Linked DNA regions of Callithrix jacchus. The main gene of each other region encodes a partner of the protein of the gene in region 3 in a complex. Links are inferred from orthologs where the notes say so. Each region holds a gene or a part of one and is shown on either strand. Other genes may lie near its edges.

Region 1 (3,649 bases), on a different chromosome or scaffold from region 3:
TAAATGAAAGACACAGAGGAGTACATATTGTGAACTTCTATTTGTAGTTCAAGAACTGACAAGAACTATTTAATGTGTTAGAAGTCCAGGTAATGGTAACCTATAAAAAGGAAAAAGGGTGAAATGATCAGGCGAGGGCATCTTCTGGGGTACTGATAATGTGCTATGTGTTTGTCAGTTTAGTGTTTACACAGGCTCATTTACTTCATGAAAACTTATACTAAAGTTGTGTGTACTTTTCTGAACATGTTATACATTAATAAATAGCATTTTTAAACCTGTAGTCCATGATTTAGTGAAAGTAGAATATGCAAACATTTCGTTTTAAACCAATCAGTTATAGTGCTACCACCATTTTTATGCCTTATTTTACCTTTGTTTTCACTCTTAGTTCAAGGCTCCAAAATTTCTCTCCATGAATGCCCCCAACATATATTTGACCCATACATGAATCAATAGTTCCATGTACTTTTTAGAAATGCATGTTTAATGATGCTGTTACTGTCTATTTTGCTTCTTTTAGATGCATCATGTAGCATTAAGAACGGCAGATGCACGCAGTTTTGTAAATTTAGTGCTGATCACAAGGTGGTTTGTTCCTGTACCGAGGGATATCAACTTGCAGAAAACCAGAAGTCCTGTGAACCAGCAGGTCATAATCCAAATAAGACTTTTTTAAAGAAAATATTTATCTGAACCTTCAGCATTTTAACAAAACTACATAATTTTAATTCCTACTTAAATCTGCTTCCTTTTGAAATCATATAAAAGATCAGTAGCTTGAATTAGACAAATTTTCTAAATTGCATATTTTAAATATAAACTATGTAATCATCTCCAGCCTGAATTCTTTTCTGTGTCCAATCTTTTTCTCTAACACTTATATAACAAAGCAATTAATTTGTGTGATTTCTGCACATATATTTGTAATTCATCAAGTCAAATCAATGTAGTAAGACTACATCATAAAATACACAAAAATGATTGAGTGATAGGCTTCTGGTACAAGGATGGTGAATTTGAAGCATGATTCTATTTGGGCTGGCTAGTTTACTGTGAGAAAGTTATTTTTTTATTGTTGGGTCTCAAGCCAAATTTACACACATGGTGTCAGAATGATTCCAGCCATGAACTGTTTTAAGTTCTGCTAGGCTGATCAGTACAATCTATATGGCAGAGGACAAAGCAATGTTTCCCAGTCATATCAACCATGCCACCATTTTACCAGCTGATTAGTGTATTCGGAACATCTCCACTCCATGTTCGTATGGCTCCTCTCTCAAAATGAAAGCAGTAGACACTTTTACTTTTTAAAAAATTTAGGCTCTACAGGGTCAAATGTATTTGAAAATTAGGGGTCTCTTTGAAGCAAACTGGATATAATTTCTTTTGCATTTCCAAAGCCTGATATCTTATTAAATTGGTACATTAAATAATGTACCATTTCTCTATAACTGGTTCCAATACCTATCTCAGCATAACACTAGGCAGAGGAAATTAAAGAAAGAAACAGAAGCCCGGAATATATATCCTGCAACTAAAATGAGGCGTGTCTAAGGCTTCAGGACCTGCCCAGTTGTCCTTCTGCCTGGCTCTTCAAATACACCATCTCAAAGCTAGTCTACCTTGAGAGGAGCATGAATCTGGGCGTGGGTGTGTGCCTGTGTGTGTATTTTAACCTTAAAAACCTAACTTCCAGTATAGACAGATGCTATAGTAGCTAAACCCTTACCAGCTCTTCCATGCTATAAAAGAGAAACAGAATTGAGAACCACCTCCAATTTATTAAGTGTTACATTTGAATATAGCCTTAGCTGTAGCAGAATAAGTAGGCCAAACTTAAAATAAGCTTTTCTGCCTTTTCAACAATAATGGTCCCTTTGCTCCAGCCATTGTTGATCATGTATATTTATACATAAGTATTTTAAAATAATTTCCTGTTTTCTCAACCACTTGCTGTCTTCATGATACTTTGTCGCAGCTGGTTGCTATAGAAATATCTGTTACAAAGAATGTGGCTTGAAGGAAAGTGAGAAATGAAAATGAAACGTGAGGTAACTTTGTTTTACTACAAATTCCATCTGGTAGTCCCCAGTGTATTAACAGATTATTTTTCTTTAGAAAATAAATCAACCCAAGGAAAAATGGTGGGCAGGTCCTGGTGAATATGGCTGTGATAATCATATCAGGAATCTCTTTGGATAATATTTAAAAGCCAGGCAATTGAATCACAATTCTCTCTCCCCAGAAAATACCTAAAATGCACCTTGGAATCTAGGCATTTTAGTCTGCAAAATAAACCCTCTTAATGATAAGCAGAAGTCCCATTTACTGAATTGGAAAGTTAAAGTTACAAGGCATCAATCACCAGACTTCCATTCAGGGATGGCACTGGGAGTAAGATTTTTTAGTAAAGAAACTAAACAGAAAGTCATTAGACTCTATAAAAGTCTTACCAAATTTGATTCTGGAATCCTATTCTATTTCCGTAAAGATGATGAATTCCGGAGCCAAATGTTCTTTTCATGAAGGATTTGAAAACTTTCCACGAAAATAATTCAATCAACCTTTTAGCTTGAGACTTTATTCACTGATTAGATTTTGAAAAATACTGATGGGCCTGCTTCTCAGAAGTAACAAGGATGGGCCTCAATCTCAATTTGTGTAATGCATGTTACATTTACCAATGAGAAATATCAGAATACTAATTTTTTTCTTCTATTTTTCTAGTGCCATTTCCATGTGGAAGAGTTTCTGCTTTACAAACTTCTAAGCTCACCCGTTCTGAGACTGTTTTTCCTGATGTGTACAATGAAAATTCTACTGAAGTTGAACCCATTTTGGATAATGTCACTCAAAGCACCCAATCATTTGATGACGTCACTCGAGTTGTTGGTGGAGAAGACGCCAATCCAGGTCAATTCCCTTGGCAGGTACTTTATACTGATGATATGCCAAAACTGGAGCTCAGCTGGCAAGACACAGGCCAAGTGGTAGACTGAGGCTAGTTTACTAGACAGACCTATTGGGATGTGAGAAATATTTAGGCAAGTTTCAGCACTAACCAATGTGAGAAAGCCTCCAGAGATGAACAGCTGGTAAAAGAGAGGTCCAAAAGTAACTACTATACAGATCAAGAAGAATTTGCCATTAAGGAAACAGCATAGCAGAATTCCAGACAGGCAACTGGTTAGCAACATGAAGGTCTGGAAGAAAGGTTACAGGTACTCAGGTTCAGGGTACTACTTCAGCTTCAGCTTTTGCAAAGTTGGAAAGACTTTAGGCCCAGAGAAATTGGATTATTTTAAAGGGGGCAAAGAAAGGGACTCAAGGAGTAAGGATTAAGGCAAGAATTAGGTTCCAAGAAACAGGGTATGAGAGTCTTTGTCTACAGCTATGGTTCTCAAAGTATAGTAGCATCAGAATCACCTGGGAACTTTGAAATGCAAATTCTCATACTCCACCCTAGACCTACCAAATCAGAATATCTAGGGGGTGGGGCCCAGCAATCTGTGTGCAAACAAGCGCTGCAGGTGATTTTGATGCACATTATAGTTTGAAAACTAGGCCAGGTACAGTGGCTCATACCTGAAATCCCAGCACTTTGGGAGACTGAGACAGGAGGATCGCTTAAGCCCACAAGTTTGAG
Region 2 (3,649 bases), on a different chromosome or scaffold from region 3:
CCTGGTACTGCCGCCCCCGATCGGGGACACACCACTCCGATGGAGGTGACAGATTTCCCCCGGAGCCTCTGGAGCGTGGAGTCATCGCTACAGTGACTCGATCCTCACCTGGTGTGTGAGGAAGGAGGAGGCAGTATGTGTGAGACCACACATGGACCGGAACAGACAGGGATGTGAACCCCGATCTTGCTGCTTTCTGCCTGCATGGCCTGAGGTTACTTAACCTCTCTGGGCTTCTGTTTGTCTGCCTTTAAAGGCGTTATCAACGCCACTCTAGCAGGCTTGTTGAGAGAATTAAAATATACAGCATTAAGTGTCTGGCACAGAATAAACCAGAGATAGTAACCAGGTTTGGCCTCCTGGGCTACCTGTGGTCAGCTGGTAGTGACTGTCTGAAGGCTGCCGCAGGCAACTGGGAAAACTCTTATGCTGATGGCAGACACAGAAAACAAGGAACAGAAAAGCGTCATGTGTCCTGAAGGCCTAGGCCCAGAACAGGCACAGTCAGCCCCACTCACATTCCACTGGCCTCTTGGGTTATCTGTAGTCAGCTGATAGTGGCTGCCTGGAGCTGCTGGAGGAGTCTGTGTTTTTTTGTTTTTTTGTTTTTTTTGAGACGGAGTTTCGCTGTTGTTACCCAGACTGGAGTGCAATGGCACGATCTCGGTTCACCACAACCTCTGCCTCCTGGATTCAAGCAATTCTCCTGCCTCAGCCTCCCGAGTAGCTGGGACTACAGGCGTGCGCCACCATGCCCAGCTAATTTTTGTATTTTCAGTAGAGACGGGGTTTCACCTTGTTGACCAGGATGGTCTTGATCTCTTGACCTCGTGATCCATCCACCTCGGCCTCCCAAAGTGCTGGGATTACAGGCGTGAGCCACCGCACCCGGCCTGAGTCTGTGTTTTTATAGGGCACAGCAGGAAGCTTGCTGGGATCACTAAGATGTTCACCTGGAGAGTAGGTCAATTTCTGCAAGCCTGAAACTTATTTATCATCAGTGTGTGTGTGTGTGTGTGTGTGTGTGCATATGGGAGTTGGGGGGTAAATGGTAGCCTTTTTCGTTAGGATGAACTTGCTATAAATCCAATCGCAGGAGCCAGGCGGTGACTCATTCCTGGCTTTGGGAGCCCAAGACGGGCGGATCACCTGAGGTCAGGAGTTTGAGACCAGCCTGACCAACATGGAGAAACCCTCTCTCTACTAAATATACAAAAAATTAGCCAGGCGTGGTGGCGTGTGCCTATAGTCCCAGCTACATGGGAGGCTGAGGCAGGAGAATTGCTTGTACCCAGGAGGGGGAGGTTGCAGTGAGACAAGATTGTGCCATTGCACTCCAGCCTGGATGACAGAGTGAGACTGTTTCAAAAAGAAAAAAAAACTGACCCCAGGAACAAGCAATGGGCCCAACAGGGATGCTTAGAAAACAAAGAACACGAACGCATGTTTGTGGACTGGTAACCAGCACTAATTCTTTACCCCTGCCTGCATCCCCATCCGTTGCTGTGATTTCACAGGCTGAGGTGTAGTTCAATTCTCGACTCTGGCCTTGAACATAGACTTCTGGTCAGTGGAACGCGGGCGGGGCTGACTGTACCTGTTCGGAGCCTAGGTCTTCAGAACAGATGACCTTTCCTGTTTGTTGTTTTCTGTGTCTGCCATCAGCTAAGAAAAGTCTTCCCAGTTACCTGCTGTCTTTTTGTCTCAGCCCCAGCAAGAACACACGTGGAGCAGATCTAGGCCCAACCCTCAATGAGGAGCCAGGCTCAGCTGGAACCATTGTTTGAATCAGAGCCACCCAGCCATGGCCAGCCTCCGTGAATTGACCCTACGGATTCGTCAGCGAGTGCAGCTGAGATCAGCAGCACCACGCCCGCCAACTCTCAGGGCACGAGGCTTGCTCTGTGATACTCAGAACAGAGCATGTGGACTGAAGTGGCTAGGGAGGGCTTCTTGGAGGGAGGAGTGCCTTGATCAGAAAGGAGGCATGTTTGGAATGAGCCACGGCCTGGACCATCAGGAAGTCAAGAGTGGGGAGGGGAAGAAGGAAGCTGGCAGATCTCTGATTCCCTGACTTCACTGTGCAATAGACATAGATATGATATGAATGACTGAGGCCAGCTCTGAAGGTAGCTGGCATCTTTTTTTTTTTTTAAGGAGTTTCATTCTTGTTGCTCAGACTTAAGTGCAGTGGCATGATCTCAGCTCACTGCAACCTCTGCCTTCCAGGTTCAAGTGATTCTCCTGCCTCAGCCTCCTGAGTAGCTGGGATTACAGGTGCCTACCACCACACCTGGCTAGTTTTGTATTTTTAGTAGAGATAGGGTTTTGTCATGTTGGCCAAGCTGGTCTCGAACTCCTGACCTCAGGTGATCTGCCAACCTCAGTCTCCCAAAGTGTTAGGATTACAGGCATGAGCCACTGCACCCAGGTAGCCAGGCATCTTGGTTGCCATCCCAGGCTGCCAGGCCCCAGGAAGCCCCCGGGCCTTGGCTGTGGGCTGCCTCATTGCCCCCAGCTCACCACAGACAGGGATGCTGCATTCCTCCCTCCGCACGGTGGGGTCGGTTGTGTAGCACCAAGGTCCCATGGTGCTGCTGTCAGGGTTGCGGCAGAAATTCTCCTGCAGGTCGGTCTCGGGATGGGTGGTGGTGTTGATTCTGGAACAGGAAATTTCCCAGTAGGAGGCTATGGCCCACGGGGTGTCCCTGCTCCCTGTTCTCAGCCCTTGGTGGGAAGGCCGGCTCATCACTCACTCAGGCTTATGTGGGTAGCGACTCCTCCATAGCTGGCACTCGATGCCTGATGCGGTGACGTTCACATGCCCTCGGTAGTTCGTACCCAGACCCTCCGCACAGTTACCTGTGGGGACCCCACCCCGGTCAGCCTTGGAGCCTGGGGACTTATTTCCTCTCTCCCAGCAAAGTTGTGTCTGTCCCTGCCTCCAAGCTCACAGTGGTCCACAATCCTTAACCTGCATTCACCCAGCTCCTCTTCCTCTCCATCCTGCAGTTCTCCCATTCACTCAACAGTGGCCTCCAAGTATTTGCTGAGTGCTCACCATGTGACAGGCACTGTTGGGTGCTCAGCACGACAAATAGGACAGTTACAGCCCTGCCCTCAGGGAACTTCCATTCAGTGGCTTCTCTTGGCCAGCGGGATGAAAAAGTGACCAAGGTCCTTTTCATCTGGCCCCGGTCTACCTGTCCCTGCTAGCTTGGCTCCTCGTGCCTCTGGGTCTTTCCACGGGCTTTTTCTGCCCGGAATGCCCTCTTGTTTGTTCATCTGGGCATCCCCCCAGGCCAGGCAGAACTCTGCCTCTCCTGGGAAGCTGTCTCTCATTCTTCTGGCAAACCAGACACTCATTTTCCTGTGTTCTCTCGGTGCCTTGAACAGAACTTTTGTTGCAATCACTTTATTTGTTTATGTATTTATTTATTTGTTGTTGTTTTAGAGACGGAGTCTTGCTCTGTCACTCAGGCTGGAACTCAGTGGCACAATCTTGGCTTACTGCAACCTCTGCCTCCTGGGTTCAAGCAATTCTCCCACCTCAGCCTTCTAAGTAGCTGGGATTACAAGCGTGTGTCACCACCCCCTGCTAATTTTTTGTATTTTAATAGAGACGGGGTTTCATCATGTTGCCCAGGCT
Region 3 (3,649 bases):
GGCTTGGGTAGGATGAGCACCATGGTGATGTCATCACCCTTGAAGGGCAACTCAAGCACCTGGGTGCCTTCAGCCACACGCCGATAACGGAACTTGCCTTCCTGGTACATCATAGACACTGAACACGACTCTTCATCAGCCTTGTAGAACAGTTCCTTCCTTGTGTTCTCAGGGCTGAACTTTGACTTCCACAGGCCCTGGAAGAGAACACCAGGTGAGAGAATCACAAAGTGACAACAAGAACATCTATAGGAGGATATTTACTGATACAAGGCATTCATATTATAGTATGACATTAATAGATAAGTACAATTATTAGGAAAAAAGACTGGAGGGATATGCACAAAAAGGTTAATAATGACTATGTCAGAACGATGGACTATGAATAGGTTTTTCTCTGTGTACTTTTCTGTATTTCCCCAGATTTTCAGCCGTATTTGCTTCTATAATCAGAAAGATAAAAAACAAAACCAAGAACAATGTACAAGCCTCTCTGCAAATCTCTTCTTGAGTTTAAGTCTAATTGCCTTGTGCTGTCTGCCTTTCACCAACCTCTTTTCTTTTTCTTTTCTCTTTTTTTTTTTTTTTTGAGACCAAGTTTTGCTCTTGTTGCCCAGGCCGGAGTGCAATGGCACGATCTCAGCTCACTGCAACCTCCACCCACCGGGTTCAAGCAATTCTCCTGCCTCAGCTCCCAAGTTGCTTGGATTGCAGGCACCCGCCACCATGCCCGGCTAATTTTTGTATTTGTAGAGACGGGGTTTCACCATGTGGGCCAGGCTTGTCTCAAACTCCTAACTTCAGTTGATCCACCTGCCTTAGCTTCGCAAAGGGCTGGGATTACAGGCCTGAGTCCCCAGACCTCTTTTCTAAGGGTCAACCTCAAAAGTCCTAGGCTCTGCCAGACACAGACATAGATAACAAGCAGAGGATGCGTCCTGACTGACTTCTTCAAACTGGGAGGGACCCTGAGATAGAAGAGACACTTTCGAAAATTGTGATTCTTGGCCAGGCGCGGTGGCTCACACCTGTAATCCCAGCACTTTGGGAGGCCAAGGCGGGTGGATCACAAGGTCAAGAGATCGAGACCATCCTGGTCAACATGGTGAAACCCAGTCTCTACTAAAAATACAAAAATTAGCTGGGCATGGTGGCGTGTGCCTGTAATCCCAGCTACTCGTGAGGCTGAGGCATAAATTGCTTAAACCCCGGAGGCGGAGGTTGCAGTGAGCCGAGATCACGCCATTGCACTCCAGCCTGGGTAACAAGAGCGAAACTCCGTCTCAAAAAACGAAAATTGTGATTCTTGGTTTAGCACCAAGGATCAAAAAAAATAAAAAATAAAATTGCGATTCTTATCACTTTCTAGCTCTTTGATTTGGAAACAGGCCATTTAACTCTTCTTTTTTGGTGGCGGACAAGGTCTCACTCTGTGTCCCGTGTTGGAGTGATGCAGTGGCAAGCTCATGGCTCATTGCAGCCTCAACCTCCCAGGCTCAAGCTATCATCCCACCTCAGCTTCCCAGGCGGCTAAGACTACAGGAGTGTACTACCATGTCTGGCTAACTTTCATTTTTTGTAAATACAGGATCTCCCTGTGCTGCACAGGCTGGTCTTGAACTTCTGTGCTTGAGTGATCCTCCTGCCTCAGCCTCCCAAAGTTCTGGGATCACAAGTGTGATCACCCTGCCTGGCCCATTTAAATCTTCTGAGTGGTGGTTTCTCATCTGTAAACTAGGAGCTGGTGATAGCTGATGCTTATAGAATGCTTACTGTGTGCCAGGCACTGTTCTAAGCATTTTGCATGCATTAACTTTCACCTTGTTTACTTGCAGTAACTACCTCAGTACCCCTATATGGTAGATGTATCATTATTATCATATAATAGATGCAGAAATTGGAGCATAGAAAGGTCTCAGGTAGGCCGGGCACGGTGGCTCACGCCTGTAATCCCAGCACTTTGGAAGGCCGAGGCGGGTGGATTACAAGGTCAGGCGTTCAAGACCAGCCTGACCAACATGGTGAAACCCTGTCTCTACTAAAAATACAAAAATTAGCCAGATATGGTGGCGTGCGCCTGTAATCCCAGCTACCTGGGAGGCTGAGGCAGGAGAATTGCTTGAACCTGGAAGGCAGAGGTTGCAGAGAGTGAGATTATGCCACTGCACTCCAGCCTGGACAACAGAGTGAGACTCTGTCTCAAAAAAAGAAAAAGAAAGGGGCCGGGCGCGGTGGCTCACGCCTGTAATCCCAGCACTTTGGGAGGCCGAGGAGGGTGGATCACGAGGTCAAGAGATCAAGACCATCCTGGTCAACATGGTGAAACCCTGTCTCTACTAAAAATACAAAAAATTAGCTGGGCATGGTGGCACGTGCCTGTAATCCCAGCTACTCAGGAGGCTGAGGCAGGAGAATTGCCTGAACCCAGGAGGCGGAGGTTCTGGTGAGCCGATATCGCGCCATTGCACTCCAGCCTGGGTAACAAAAGCGAAACTCCGTCTCGAAAAAAAAAAAGAAAGGGAAAAAAAGGTGAAGAATATAAAAATAGCTGGGCGAGGTGGCTCATGCCTGTAATCCCAGCACTTTGGGAGGCCGAGGTGCGCAGATCATGCGGTCAGGAGTTTGAGACCAGTCTGGACAACATAGTGAAACTCCATCTTTACTAAAAATACAAAAAATTAGATGGGTGTGGTGGTATGCGCCTATAATCTCAGCTACTCCGGAGGCTGAGGCAGGAGAATCAACCTCCCCGTGAACGCGGGAAGCAGAGGTTGCAGCGAGCTGAGATCACACCATTGCACTCCAGCCTGGGTGACAGTGCAAGACTCCATCTCAAAAATAATAAAAAAAGGAATATAAAAATAAATTTTCAAAAATAAGATTTGGGCAAAGGGAAATTTGAGTCATTGTAGAAGCTGCTTCAGATGATGGGGAAAAATCGCAGCACTGAAGACTGTTAACACATTGACTCTGTCATTTTCTTCCAGATTTCAAAATGGAGTTAACTAGACAGCAGAATCACATATATATGAGATTTTGTCACTGTGCACACCTTGCAATGGGATGTGATGGGTTTGTTTGTGTGCCCACTCTGCCATCAGCCTAGGGACACTACCACACCTCCCTGTACAGTAGCCCAGCAGCCATAGTTCAAAAGATTCTGGGCTCTCAGCAAATGCATTTGTCTTCCCAGATCATGCATGGACCATTTCTCAGAAAGGATCTACACATGCCCAGTAGTGTGAAAGAGGGTAAGCTGGCCACGCGTGATGGTTCATGCCTGTAATCCCAGCACTTTGGGAGGCCAAGGCAAGAGGACTGCTTGAGCCCACGAGTTCAAGACCAGCCTGGGCAACATACAAAAAATTTAAAAATCAGCCTGGTATAGTGGCGTGCACCTGTAGTCCCAGCTACTTGGAAGGCTGAGGCGGGAGGACTATTGGAGCCTGGGAGCTCAAGGCTGCAGTGAGCTGTGACTGTGCCACTGCACTCCAGCCTGGGTGACAGAGTGGGATTCTGTATTAAAAAATAAAAATGAAAATAAATGGAGGCAAGGAGGAAATAAGGGTAGGGACAAGGAGGCAGAGGCAGGACTTTTGGAGAAGTTGGTTCAGCTCTGCCTTCTACTGTCGGAATCTTTTCACTCAGC

The links.
Region 1: the proteins of SERPINC1 (region 3) and F9 are in contact, whole or in part, in a crystal structure (PDB 3KCG), measured with the Homo sapiens proteins. The link is inferred for Callithrix jacchus from reciprocal best matches to the Homo sapiens genes SERPINC1 and F9. Residues at the interface, in NP_000479.1 of Homo sapiens: Glu264, Asn265, Arg267, Glu269, Met283, Met284, Tyr285, Glu287, Met347, Val349, His351, Val420, Val421, Ile422, Ala423, Gly424, Arg425, Ser426, Leu427, Asn428, Pro429, Asn430, Arg431; in NP_000124.1 of Homo sapiens: Lys247, Val248, Asp249, Ala250, Phe251, Cys252, His267, Cys268, Glu270, Glu285, Tyr312, Arg358, Phe360, Lys362, Gly363, Arg364, Ser365, Leu367, Lys387, Phe388, Asp405, Ser406, Cys407, Gln408, Gly409, Asp410, Ile429, Ser430, Trp431, Gly432.
Region 2: the proteins of SERPINC1 (region 3) and F2 are in contact, whole or in part, in a crystal structure (PDB 1TB6), measured with the Homo sapiens proteins. The link is inferred for Callithrix jacchus from reciprocal best matches to the Homo sapiens genes SERPINC1 and F2. Residues at the interface, in NP_000479.1 of Homo sapiens: Lys258, Glu264, Asn265, Arg267, Tyr285, Glu287, Gly288, Lys289, Glu345, Met347, His351, Ala419, Val420, Val421, Ile422, Ala423, Gly424, Arg425, Ser426, Leu427, Asn428, Pro429, Asn430, Arg431, Val432, Lys435; in NP_000497.1 of Homo sapiens: Leu389, Leu390, Cys391, His406, Cys407, Tyr410, Pro412, Trp413, Asp414, Lys415, Trp455, Arg456, Glu457, Asn458, Leu459, Asn506, Thr510, Trp511, Thr512, Ala513, Asn514, Val515, Gln519, Arg541, Ile542, Asp562, Ala563, Cys564, Glu565, Gly566.

Annotation. Positions count from the first base shown.
Region 1 is NC_133524.1:136,311,652-136,315,300, forward strand, and holds part of F9 (coagulation factor IX), read left to right. Parts: intron 1-523; coding exon 524-652; intron 653-2,730; coding exon 2,731-2,933; intron 2,934-3,649. UniProt on the Homo sapiens protein: Factor IX is a vitamin K-dependent plasma protein that participates in the intrinsic pathway of blood coagulation by converting factor X to its active form in the presence of Ca(2+) ions, phospholipids, and factor VIIIa.
Region 2 is NC_133511.1:111,771,947-111,775,595, reverse strand, and holds part of F2 (prothrombin), read right to left. Parts: intron 2,863-3,649; coding exon 2,757-2,862; intron 2,661-2,756; coding exon 2,524-2,660; intron 109-2,523; coding exon 1-108. UniProt on the Homo sapiens protein: Thrombin, which cleaves bonds after Arg and Lys, converts fibrinogen to fibrin and activates factors V, VII, VIII, XIII, and, in complex with thrombomodulin, protein C. Functions in blood homeostasis, inflammation and wound healing.
Region 3 is NC_133519.1:29,149,116-29,152,764, reverse strand, and holds part of SERPINC1 (antithrombin-III), read right to left. Parts: intron 198-3,649; coding exon 1-197. UniProt on the Homo sapiens protein: Most important serine protease inhibitor in plasma that regulates the blood coagulation cascade. AT-III inhibits thrombin, matriptase-3/TMPRSS7, as well as factors IXa, Xa and XIa. Its inhibitory activity is greatly enhanced in the presence of heparin.